Arabidopsis thaliana: one gene and its partner. The protein of the gene in region 2 interacts with the protein of the main gene of each other region in a pairwise test. Each region holds a gene or a part of one and is shown on either strand. Other genes may lie near its edges.

Region 1 (5,373 bases), about 13 Mb from region 2:
CTCAACCAGAGGAATCTTATTCTGAGTATGGAAAATAAAGCTCTCAAGAAGCGTCTCGAAAGTATAGCTCAGGAGAAGCTTATCAAACAATGTAAGTTTCTCGCAGTTTCTTTTAGGTTCTTAAGGTTCAAACTATAGTCTAGAGTATGAGTTTGTAAGTATTAGCTAGTTATCAAGATTCAACAGTTCTTAAGATTGTATACCTCATGAGTTCTGTCTATTATCCAGTGGAACAAGAAGTGTTGGAAAAGGAGATTGGGAGACTACGAGCGTTGTATCAGCAACAACAACAAACTCAAAAACCATCAGCCAGTCGCGGACGTGCTACTAGCAAAGATCTCGACTCTCAGTTCTCCAGTCTTTCACTGAACACCAAAGATTCCAACTGTAGGCGTGACTCTGTATCTGTGATGGGTCAATTCCACTTTTAGTAAATGTCTCTCTACCCACTGGTTCATTAGAGATCTTAAGGGCCTGGCGACTCAACAAGATCAGACCCTTATCTACCGCCTCACCACAGACGTTTTTAACTCCCCCGTCGTTTCTTTTTTTTTCTTTTCTTATGGTTGACAAGTTAACTCACCAGTGCACCTGGAAATCCTATATTACTTCCAGGAGATGGCTTGCCTGAGGTGGTTTAGTTCGAAGATCAGACACCTGGACTTCATTTATCTGGTGATTGTTGTAGCGACTTGTGTAATATATGGGACGAATATATTCGAACCCGGACTCATCTCTGGAGTTGTACTATGATACCCACTGTTGTATTTTATGTTACTTGTAAAATGGTGCATTCCCTTCGAGTGAATGCTTCATGTAAAGTTGTTGCCATTTTCTGTAGTACTATCCCCAAGCGTCAAAATATTTGATTGCCTCAGATCTGCACTTAATTTATATGCACATTTACAGCTATTTCATTGCTCTTTGTCAAGCCTCTTGAAGGGCCTATATCAACTCAATTGTTATCAGAAAGTAAACTGGTTAGCATTGTTGTCGTTTGGTTTTAGAGGAAACTGAAACGGCTACATTAGAAATGTTTTTGGTAGGCGTGGGCAAAATACCCGAACCCGAAGAACCGAACCGAACCTGACCCTAAAAACCCGATCTGAATTCAAACCCAAAATTTTAAAATACCTAATCAGATCCTAAACTACAAAACCCGAATCCGATCAAGTTTCTGAACATATCTGAAATATATATACATAAAAATAATTTATTAGTAATAATCATATTTACAACAACTATTAAGTGCATAAAATATTAGATTTTGTATATATTTTGGATATTTTACCTACTTTTCGATAGATTCGGATAGAAAATACTCAAGTTTTTTGGAATTTTTTTTGTGTATTTTCAAGTAATTTAAATATATTTTGATACAAAATTTTGAGTTTTGGATATTCCGGATGAACTCGAATCCAAACCAAAAAAACCCGATCTGAATCTGAAATCTTAAAATAACTGAACCGTAAACCCAAAAAGACCCAAATACCCCAACGCCTTACCATATTAAATTAGGAGGAAACCCGTTCATAAATAATTTTTCGGGTTTGGGCCACAACAGACCGGCCCATTTCAACCGGTTCATAAATTCTAAATACTAGAAAATTCCAAATTAGATAAGTTTTTGTCCATCCTTTCTTTGGGATTCTTGACGAGTAACGTTTGATGTCTTTCTTAATTTGGTTGAATGATCAAATTTGTGATCCAAATTCTTACAAACTGATATGTTAATGAATCTATAACCAAAATAACGTCTAAAACAAAAAGCTGTAACGATTTGAAAGTGCATTTTTTCCCAAAACTATATAACTAATTAAAGAATTTAGTGTCATTTATCTAATGGATATACTTTTAACAAAATCTTATAAAACTAAAAATATTTAAGACAAAAGTGAAATGGAGATACGGAGGTGGATTGTAATGAGCTGTCCCCACCTGCAAAAATACGCACGCTTCACTGTCTGAAAGATGCTTATCTCTCTCTTTCTAACTTTCTTAATCCACAAATCTTTTTTAAACCTTTTTTTATTGGTGCTCTAAAATTGGTAAACAATAATGTTGTGATGAAAATAATGTAATTGAAAAATAACATAACTCATATTTGGGTAGAATTTTGATAAAAAAGACTTAAAATAATTGTGAAAAGTTATTTTTCTCCCCTAATTACTTTTTGATTTATATAATAACTAATCAAAAATCAATAAACGTTTTATTTAATGTTAATGACGGCATATATATTATTTATTTTAATAATAATATCCTCTTGCTGGAAAAGTCATCCACCTGCTTTTACATCATCAAACCTTTTTTTCTCTCATCTCTCTCTCTCTCTTCTCGAGACAAAGAAGAAGACAAGAGTCAAACTTGAAGGCGACAATCGGAGCTTCCATGGCCGTTTCTTCCTCTTTCACCAAACCCTAATTTCAATTTCATCTTCTTTTCCCTTCTTTCTCACCGGAAAATGGATCTCTCCGACATCCGAAACAACAACAACGACACCGCCGCCGTCGCCACCGGAGGAGGAGCAAGACAGCTAGTTGACGCATCTCTCTCAATCGTTCCCAGATCTACACCTCCCGAAGACTCAACACTCGCAACAACCTCATCTACGGCAACGGCGACTACAACGAAGCGGTCGACTAAAGACCGTCACACGAAAGTCGACGGAAGAGGACGTCGGATTCGTATGCCGGCGCTATGTGCAGCTAGAGTTTTTCAGTTAACGAGAGAGTTAGGTCATAAATCCGATGGTGAAACTATTGAATGGCTTCTTCAACAAGCTGAGCCAGCTATTGTTGCTGCTACAGGTACAGGAACTATTCCGGCGAACTTCTCTACTTTAAGTGTTTCGTTACGAAGTAGTGGATCGACTCTCTCTGCTCCGCCGTCGAAATCGGTGCCGCTTTACGGTGCTCTTGGATTGACTCATCATCAGTATGATGAACAAGGAGGCGGCGGTGTGTTTGCTGCTCATACGTCGCCGCTTTTAGGGTTTCATCATCAGCTTCAACACCACCAGAACCAGAATCAGAATCAAGATCCGGTGGAAACTATTCCTGAAGGTGAGAATTTCTCTAGGAAACGGTATAGATCGGTTGATTTGTCTAAAGAAAACGATGATCGGAAACAGAACGAGAATAAATCTTTGAAAGAAAGTGAAACGTCGGGTCCTACGGCGGCGCCGATGTGGGCGGTTGCGCCGCCGAGTAGGTCTGGTGCTGGGAACACTTTTTGGATGCTTCCGGTACCGACAACGGCCGGTAATCAAATGGAGAGTAGTAGCAACAATAACACCGCCGCAGGCCACCGTGCTCCTCCTATGTGGCCATTTGTGAACTCTGCTGGAGGAGGAGCGGGAGGTGGAGGCGGAGCAGCGACTCACTTTATGGCGGGAACGGGGTTTAGTTTTCCGATGGATCAGTACAGAGGAAGTCCACTTCAGTTAGGTTCTTTTTTAGCTCAGCCGCAGCCGACTCAGAACTTAGGACTAAGTATGCCGGACTCGAATCTCGGGATGTTAGCCGCTTTGAACTCGGCTTATTCAAGAGGCGGAAACGCAAACGCGAATGCGGAACAAGCGAACAATGCGGTGGAGCATCAAGAGAAGCAGCAACAGAGTGATCATGATGATGATAGTAGAGAGGAGAACTCAAATAGCTCTGAGTGAGTGATGTAAACTAATCTTGTGAAATCATTGAATGTGGTAAGAAATTGATTTAAAGCGTTTGTAGCGGTTTGGTTGATTGTTTTATTGTGAGATTTTGTGTGTTGTTGTTTAGTAGTGTTTAGACAAGAACAATTTATGTGTGAAGGAATTGTTAGGTTTGGGTCCAAATGGACTCTCATGGGTAGAGAATGTTTTCAATGTATAGAAGGAATGATAGTCTTTTCGATTTTTCAGTTTTCATTGTTGAGTTTCTTATATTTTTGTAGGATAAAATTGCATTCAAACCAAAAGAATAAAAATTGCATAATTAATCGCAATTAATAAGTTCCAGTGAAAGAGTTGGTGACAGATCTCACTTCTTTTCTGTATGCTACTTTTGTTTGATTTCTTTTTCGATCGAGCAAGGTCTTCTGCAACTGTTCTTTTTTCTGGCACAAGGATTTTCAAGGCACTAGTATGTATATAATATAAGACACACTGTTCTTTACTTGGAAAAAATTGAGTTTGGATACTTACATGATAGATATTCTAATAACATGCCTAGATGGTTTAAGCAAGCTAGGTTGTATACATCTACTCATTAATGTTTATTTTCAATACTCAGTGTCACTGGGCTTCCGTTCTCTTATTAATTTCAATGGAGTGCTAAAACTAACTTTGGGGAAATAGATAGTTGTTTGGTTCAAATATTTTGTACACATGATATTATTCTAAGACAACATACACGCACTAAGTTAGTTTTCTGTTTTTGTCCTAGTCCGCGCTAACATTTTGGCTTATGTTATAACTTCCTTGGTTACAGTATTCTCCTAATTTGAGCGATAGGTTATAGTGTATATAAACAGGAATCACTGATAGAGAAAGGACGTCGTATATCTTCCCATGCTCACAAATTAGATTATCAATTAACCGAATTAGGCCGAACAAATTGTGGAAATCAATCCTGTAAAAGCTTTATTAAATAATATCTAAATAATACGAAAGCAACAATGAATTTAAAACTTGTAAAAGTTCTTCTTGTTCAGTACTAGCTTCAGCGAAAGTCTCTCAACTCTCAAGGAATGGTGATCAAACTGGGAACATAGACAGAGGATTGAAACTCACATAGCACTTGATCTATCTTAATCTTTTTGCACAAATCTCCCCTCACAATATACACCCAAGCTGCTTTAGGTCTCTTGCTAGGACAACACAGAACAAAGCTCTTCCCATGGATATCATTATCGACAAAGTAACTTGTAGAGATGTAACTAAGTAATATGGGGAAGTCAGGTCTTGAGACTGTCATGAACTTAATCCACACCACATCGTCTCCATCATCCCCGTTACCAATTTGATCCTTTGTCACCCAAATCTCAATCTCCCTTGTTTTTTTGGATTGTTCTAACACTGAAAACCGATCTCCCTTGTAAATCGAGAGGATACGAGTATGTGTAGTACTTTTTTCCCCCTTACACGGTAAAACACAAAAGGTCTTTCGACTCTTTTCTATCTCTTTCGAAAAATCGAGCATTGCGATGAAATACTGACCAGTGTGGGGAGAATTATAAGCTGTCCAGTACAAATTTCCATTCAGGGAGACCCTACCGGAGTCGTCCATTAATTCTGGCTTTTCGTGAAAACGGGTATGATCAGTAACCTTCCACGCATTGGTTGCAAATTCGAAGACTGAATATGTATCAGTAACTTTACCCTGCCAAGAA
Region 2 (5,775 bases):
GCATTATTGTGGGAAATGTGGAACTACTTACGTGTTCAAGAAGGCTGATGAAGAGTAGGTTATGTCTTTTTGCTTTTGGAATTTAGATTGTTTTTTTTTTAATTCAGATATTTTGAGATGGTTTTATACTATTGAGGGATGGTTTAATTGTTGCATAATACATTATATTATCTTTGATTAGAAATTTGATCAATTTTTTTTTTGTTTCATTATGCTTTGACTGATGTGGAAATGTTGAATTGTGGCTGTAGAATTAGGACGTTGTGTTGGAACAATTCTTTGCGACATTGTTTTAGTTTTAACCTGGATTAGTGCAAGGCAAAATTTAGCCATTATGTTGATTCTGATCATATTCTTACACCAATGTCTTGAAGTTTTGTTGTTGTTGGCTCTGATAACTTGTTTGCTAAGATAAGTTTAAATTCTCTCAGATATTGATTATGTGTTTGACATTAACGTGCGTTTGTCTTTGCACATTTTATCGTCATTTCACAGCTTCTATTTATGTTAACAGTGAGATTTGACCAATCTATAAGCTGTCATGTAAAAGTTTGAGACTAGAAATGAGATGTATATCAGTATATATGGAGTAAAAGACTGTTAAACCAGAAGCCATAACTATGATTACAATGTATAATTTTAACCTCTAATCTCTCAAATCACAAATGTGTACCTCCTACTCAATTACTCATCAATAGGCTTATGAAAATGGATCGAAACTTATTAATGGGTCGGTAAATTATGTGATCTCTCAAAATGGGTCGAAACTTGTTCACTCCGGGGTTGGGTCATTGCATTGGATTCCACCCACACAAAAATTACAAATGTGTAGGAAATTGAGTAAATATTAGTATTATGTTTAGTCTTTTTCTTGTGGTTGAACACAAAATAGGAGATGAGAGTAAGTGAGAGAGAGAGAAAGCAATAAAGAGAGGGACAGTAGAAATAACATGACACAGAGAGAAAGCACTGAAACTTGAAGAAATAGAGAGAGAGAGAGAGAGAAGAGTTTGGGTAAAATGGTCAAGAAACAGTTAGCAAAAATGTGAGAGAAGAAAGACAAAATCCTAAGATTCCGAGTTACTAAAAGTGATGAGTCTCCTAGAAACACCCGCACTAGTCTCAACTCACTGCACTTTCATTTTCAGTCTCACTTCAACCAAAACTCCAAAAGACTGTTGAGTTTTGTGAGAGATTCATTAAATCCCATTTAAAGAGACAACTACACATGAGACAAAGAGGCATTTCTTTCTCAACCTCACTTGTTTTTTTCTTTCTTTCTAACTTGCAAACCAAACCACACCACCACATCACATCATTTATTAACCCCAGCTCTCTTCGATGTCTATCTATCTCCTCTTGTGCAACGTGCCTTTCCATTTTCACATGTTCATTTTTAATACTCATACTCTTTACCATCGATTTTTATCTCTTGTTATTTTTTTGTTTAACCTAGTGTTATCTTACAATAACACATATTATCTTGTATGCTTATTTATCAGAAAAATCCTGAAATGGTTTTTGAAGGGAGCTTATATATTTTCTGTTTATAGGTTATTAAGTGTTTTAAATTGTTTTGACAACAAAAAATGTCTCCTCTAATGGTAAACGCTCAAACGTTATGTATCATTTGTCATATATATTTTGTGAGTGTGACATAACATAAAAATCTTATAACAATGCTTTTGTATAACGAAAATTCTTAATTAAACTCCATCATCAACAAAAGTATTATATACATCATTTTATTTTATTTTATTTTAGAGAAGAAAATGTAGTTTGAATATTAAGGAGTTAGGAATGTGATTAATAGAAAGAATGAGAATCATTTACTGCTTACAGCTCATAGAGACTATGAAGATTCCAATTATTACAAGTGAGATAGAGACGTACATAAGTTGAATTGTATTGTGCATTTTAGCATATAACCAAAGCATTCCACATGAAAGATATAAATATAATTACATATTTGCATTAATGAATATTAACAAAACCTATCTCTCTGTCTATATATACACACACACACACACACATATATCTCCTATCATTCATCGTACACACACACTCTCTATGACAAAGCTCCCCAACATGACGACAACACTCAACCATCTATTTGATCTGCCGGGGCAGATTTGCCATGTCCAGTGTGGTTTTTGCACCACTATTTTGCTGGTATACCTTAACTTCTTCTCTTATTCTCTCCCTTCCTTTCTCCCTTCCTCTCTTTATATATATGATCATGAGTTTAATGAGTGTAAATGTGTTGCAGGTGAGTGTACCGTTTACAAGCTTGTCAATGGTGGTGACTGTGAGATGTGGGCATTGCACAAGCCTTCTCTCTGTCAATTTGATGAAGGCTTCCTTCATTCCTCTCCATCTCCTTGCTTCTCTCTCCCATCTTGATGAGGTTTCCATAACATCTATACATAGACAAACACACACCATCTAAATATGACCAATATATATATATATATACTTACTTTTGATTATATGTAAATATATGTGCAGACCGGGAAAGAGGAGGTTGCAGCTACAGATGGTGTGGAAGAAGAAGCATGGAAGGTGAATCAGGAGAAGGAGAACAGTCCAACGACTTTGGTTTCATCTTCAGACAATGAAGATGAAGATGTGTCTCGTGTTTACCAAGTTGTCAATAAACGTACGTTTGAGTATAAATTCAACTTAAACTTTAGTTTTGCGATTTCTCCTTTCATCAGTCGTCTAATTATGTTTTGAGTTTGTATATATATAGCACCTGAGAAGCGACAAAGAGCTCCTTCAGCTTACAATTGCTTCATCAAGTAAGAAATAAATTCAACACATTACATGTGTATGTATATTATATATATTCTTACAAATTTAACCACTTAAGGTTTTGAGTTTGTAAAATGGTTCTTCTTTGGGGGTTGTATTGGAGCAGGGAAGAGATCAGGAGGTTAAAGGCTCAGAATCCAAGCATGGCTCACAAGGAAGCTTTCAGCTTAGCTGCCAAAAATGTACTTAAGCTTAATTAGTCTTAAGATTTAAAAGAAAACCCTAATATAGTTTTCATCTTTTTGTTAGCTTAATTGACAGATCGAGTTAGCTAATAACATTTTATGATTTCAATTTTTTGATTTGGGGATGGCGAAGTGGGCCCATTTTCCTCCAGCTCACAACAAGAGAGCTGCTTCAGATCAATGTTTTTGTGAGGAAGATAACAATGCGATACTACCATGCAATGTTTTTGAGGTAATCCTCAGCAACCATTTATATTTTTTAATCACTTTCGCTTCAAAATCAATTACCATATTCTTGACAAGTAAACTCCACAACAAGTGTCATTTTCCAAAGCAAACCAAATAATTAAAGCATTAACTAGATCCAAATAGCATCGCTCTCAGTCAAAATTTCAGAACCCTAGCTAGACTAATTATATAAAGAGAAATCATTTACTAATTATTAGAGTGAAAGCAAGGAGAAGGGTAAGTGAGATTGTGAGAATATATCATTGATCTTCAACTACTACAATGTGTGAAATTTATGACCTAAACCCTTTTATAGTATTGAAGCTTACACTGCACACAGTTTACTTTTATAGAAACCCATTCAACTAATTTAAAACATTGAAGCTGAATATGTATAGTTTTCAATTAATATACCAAATAATTGTTGAAATGTTTGTGATGCAGGACCATGAAGAAAGCAATAATGGGTTCCGAGAGAGAAAGGCTCAGAGGCATTCCATTTGGGGAAAATCTCCATTTGAGTAATAACAATTTGGGATATGAAAATTTAACAAAAAAATAAATAATGGCGTATGACATGTGATGGTGACTCTTTTCTTCTAGGGTTTGATTATGTTGGTTTAGGGTTTCTGTTGTTGGAGAGAGATAGAGAGAAGAAGAATCTGAAACGGAAGTAGGATTTGTGTGTGTTCGAGAAGAGTCCTTGGGAATGAGCGAGTTTGTTCAGTAATTTCGTAGTACTTGTCAACTTTGAACTTAATTTGAAGAGACATGCATTGACTCTATAAAAAAAATTCTACTTTTGCATTCATGACTACTCTTATTCCATGAATGTTTTAACATTCCATGAAACAGTACTTTAGTAAGAATCTTTGTTAACCTATCATAATAAAGATCCTTCTTGACTTCGCGCGCTCAATGCTTTTGTACGTACGATGGAGAAAAACACTTACTAAAAAAAAAACACTTTTTGTTTTGACATTTGACCTTTCTAAGTTACTTTTTTTTTTTGTCGTCTGAAAATTTATTATAGAGATTCCGGTGAAATACAAAAGTGAAATATAAAGCCGGCGGTTAACAAGTAACACCAGAAAACTAAGCCGACGATTAAAAGGATAGTCTTGGAAGCAAAACCCAAAGGAAAGGGAGACAACAAGGCAAAACAAACCTTACAAACAAAGCAAAGTTGCGAAACTGAAACAAAGAAGCAGACCAAAACAACCAAAATTTTAAACACAACATCTCGTCAACCACATTACCAGACAAAGGAAAGGCAGAGCTTTACAACAAGCCACTCCGTAGGAGACAAGGAACTCCCAACCAAACGGACAGCGGTGCCACCTATTACGATGAAGACTACCTTACATAGAAGAGTTCCAAGGAATCCATACCGGCGAGAAGAACTAGGCCAAAGACGACAAGTCACACCTACACTCCCGGAATCGGCGAATTAAAGAATATGATTGTTTAGCGCCTCGAAGGAAACCAGCCAATGAACAGATGAGATCTCGATCAGATCTTTAGAGTAGAGACAAGGAGAGAACCAAATCAATTCGGACCACACCGAAAAAGAAAAACGGGAGGAGATCGAACCGGACAGAAACGAAAGCAACCACCAAGCCTGGTAAGAGGCTAAACGAGAAGAAGGCTAAAACATGACCGGATCAAGAGGCGCTACTAGCAACATAGACCAACCCACAAAAACAACATAAGCCATCTAAGAACCATTCGAAAATCCCTACACCACAACGCACATAAACTAAGTAAAAGCAACATAAACTTTACAACAGAGCAAGAGACGCATAGCTCCGGCGCTATGGAAGCCACCAAAGCCAGCCAACGCAAACTGAGATCTAGATCTACTTTTAGAGAGAATGAAGAGGTTTTAGAGTCCTCCATTCTTTACACAAATTATTATTAATTTGATCTTTCTAAGTTACTAGTATATAAAATATATAACCATCAATATTCACGAAACAAGAAAGCTAAAGAAATCAATTTCCATGATTGAAGTTACTTTGACAGTATAAATTACTTCATCCTAAACTATATTAACATGCACTTTTTTCTTTTAGCTTAAAAAACCAGAGCAAGTCTGATCTTGCAAATGCATGAAAATCAAGAGTTGGATCTATCGGAATCCTTTATTATATCATTGACTTTTTTTGCAGTAAACTGCCAGTGGATCTCATGAATCTAAAGAAACCATAGTTAAAACTTAAACCTGAACCGATCAAAAATTAAACTCGTTAGTCTTTTGTCACGGCGAGGGGATAATAAGAAGAAAAAAATTATATCAGAAGAGTGTTTTTTTTCGGATAAAGAACTAATATACTTGTCAATGAGCTTAATTTGTTTTTGTTTGCTTTACACTACGGACGGCTCTGACCGTACGAACAAAATTATTAAGGAAAATCATAATTAAGAGGTTGACATTGCATTTTAGATATTGGTGTAAATTATTTGTTATATATACTTTATTCAAAATTCTCTATGTATGTACATGTTAACGATCCTTTACTGGAAAACTTAAACATCTTCCATGCCA

Evidence for each region. The genes of interacting proteins can lie anywhere in the genome.
Region 1: the proteins of INO (region 2) and TCP8 interact in binary tests that used the Arabidopsis thaliana proteins (3 or more experiments, as listed by UniProt).

Annotation. Positions count from the first base shown.
Region 1 is NC_003070.9:21,510,977-21,516,349, reverse strand, and holds TCP8 (TCP family transcription factor), read left to right. Parts: upstream 1-2,160; 5' UTR 2,161-2,464; coding exon 2,465-3,670; 3' UTR 3,671-4,018; downstream 4,019-5,373. Other genes in the region: AT1G58110 (Basic-leucine zipper (bZIP) transcription factor family protein), read left to right, coding at 1-91, 229-431; AT1G58090 (F-box and associated interaction domains-containing protein), read right to left, coding at 4,725-5,373. UniProt on the Arabidopsis thaliana protein: Can specifically bind site II elements in the promoter region of PP438/PNM1.
Region 2 is NC_003070.9:8,315,353-8,321,127, forward strand, and holds INO (Plant-specific transcription factor YABBY family protein), read left to right. Parts: upstream 1-1,944; 5' UTR 1,945-1,977; coding exon 1,978-2,172; intron 2,173-2,269; coding exon 2,270-2,407; intron 2,408-2,508; coding exon 2,509-2,659; intron 2,660-2,752; coding exon 2,753-2,801; intron 2,802-2,920; coding exon 2,921-2,996; intron 2,997-3,132; coding exon 3,133-3,231; intron 3,232-3,671; coding exon 3,672-3,752; 3' UTR 3,753-4,139; downstream 4,140-5,775. Other genes in the region: AT1G23410 (Ribosomal protein S27a / Ubiquitin family protein), read left to right, coding at 1-58. UniProt on the Arabidopsis thaliana protein: Essential for the formation and the abaxial-adaxial asymmetric growth of the ovule outer integument.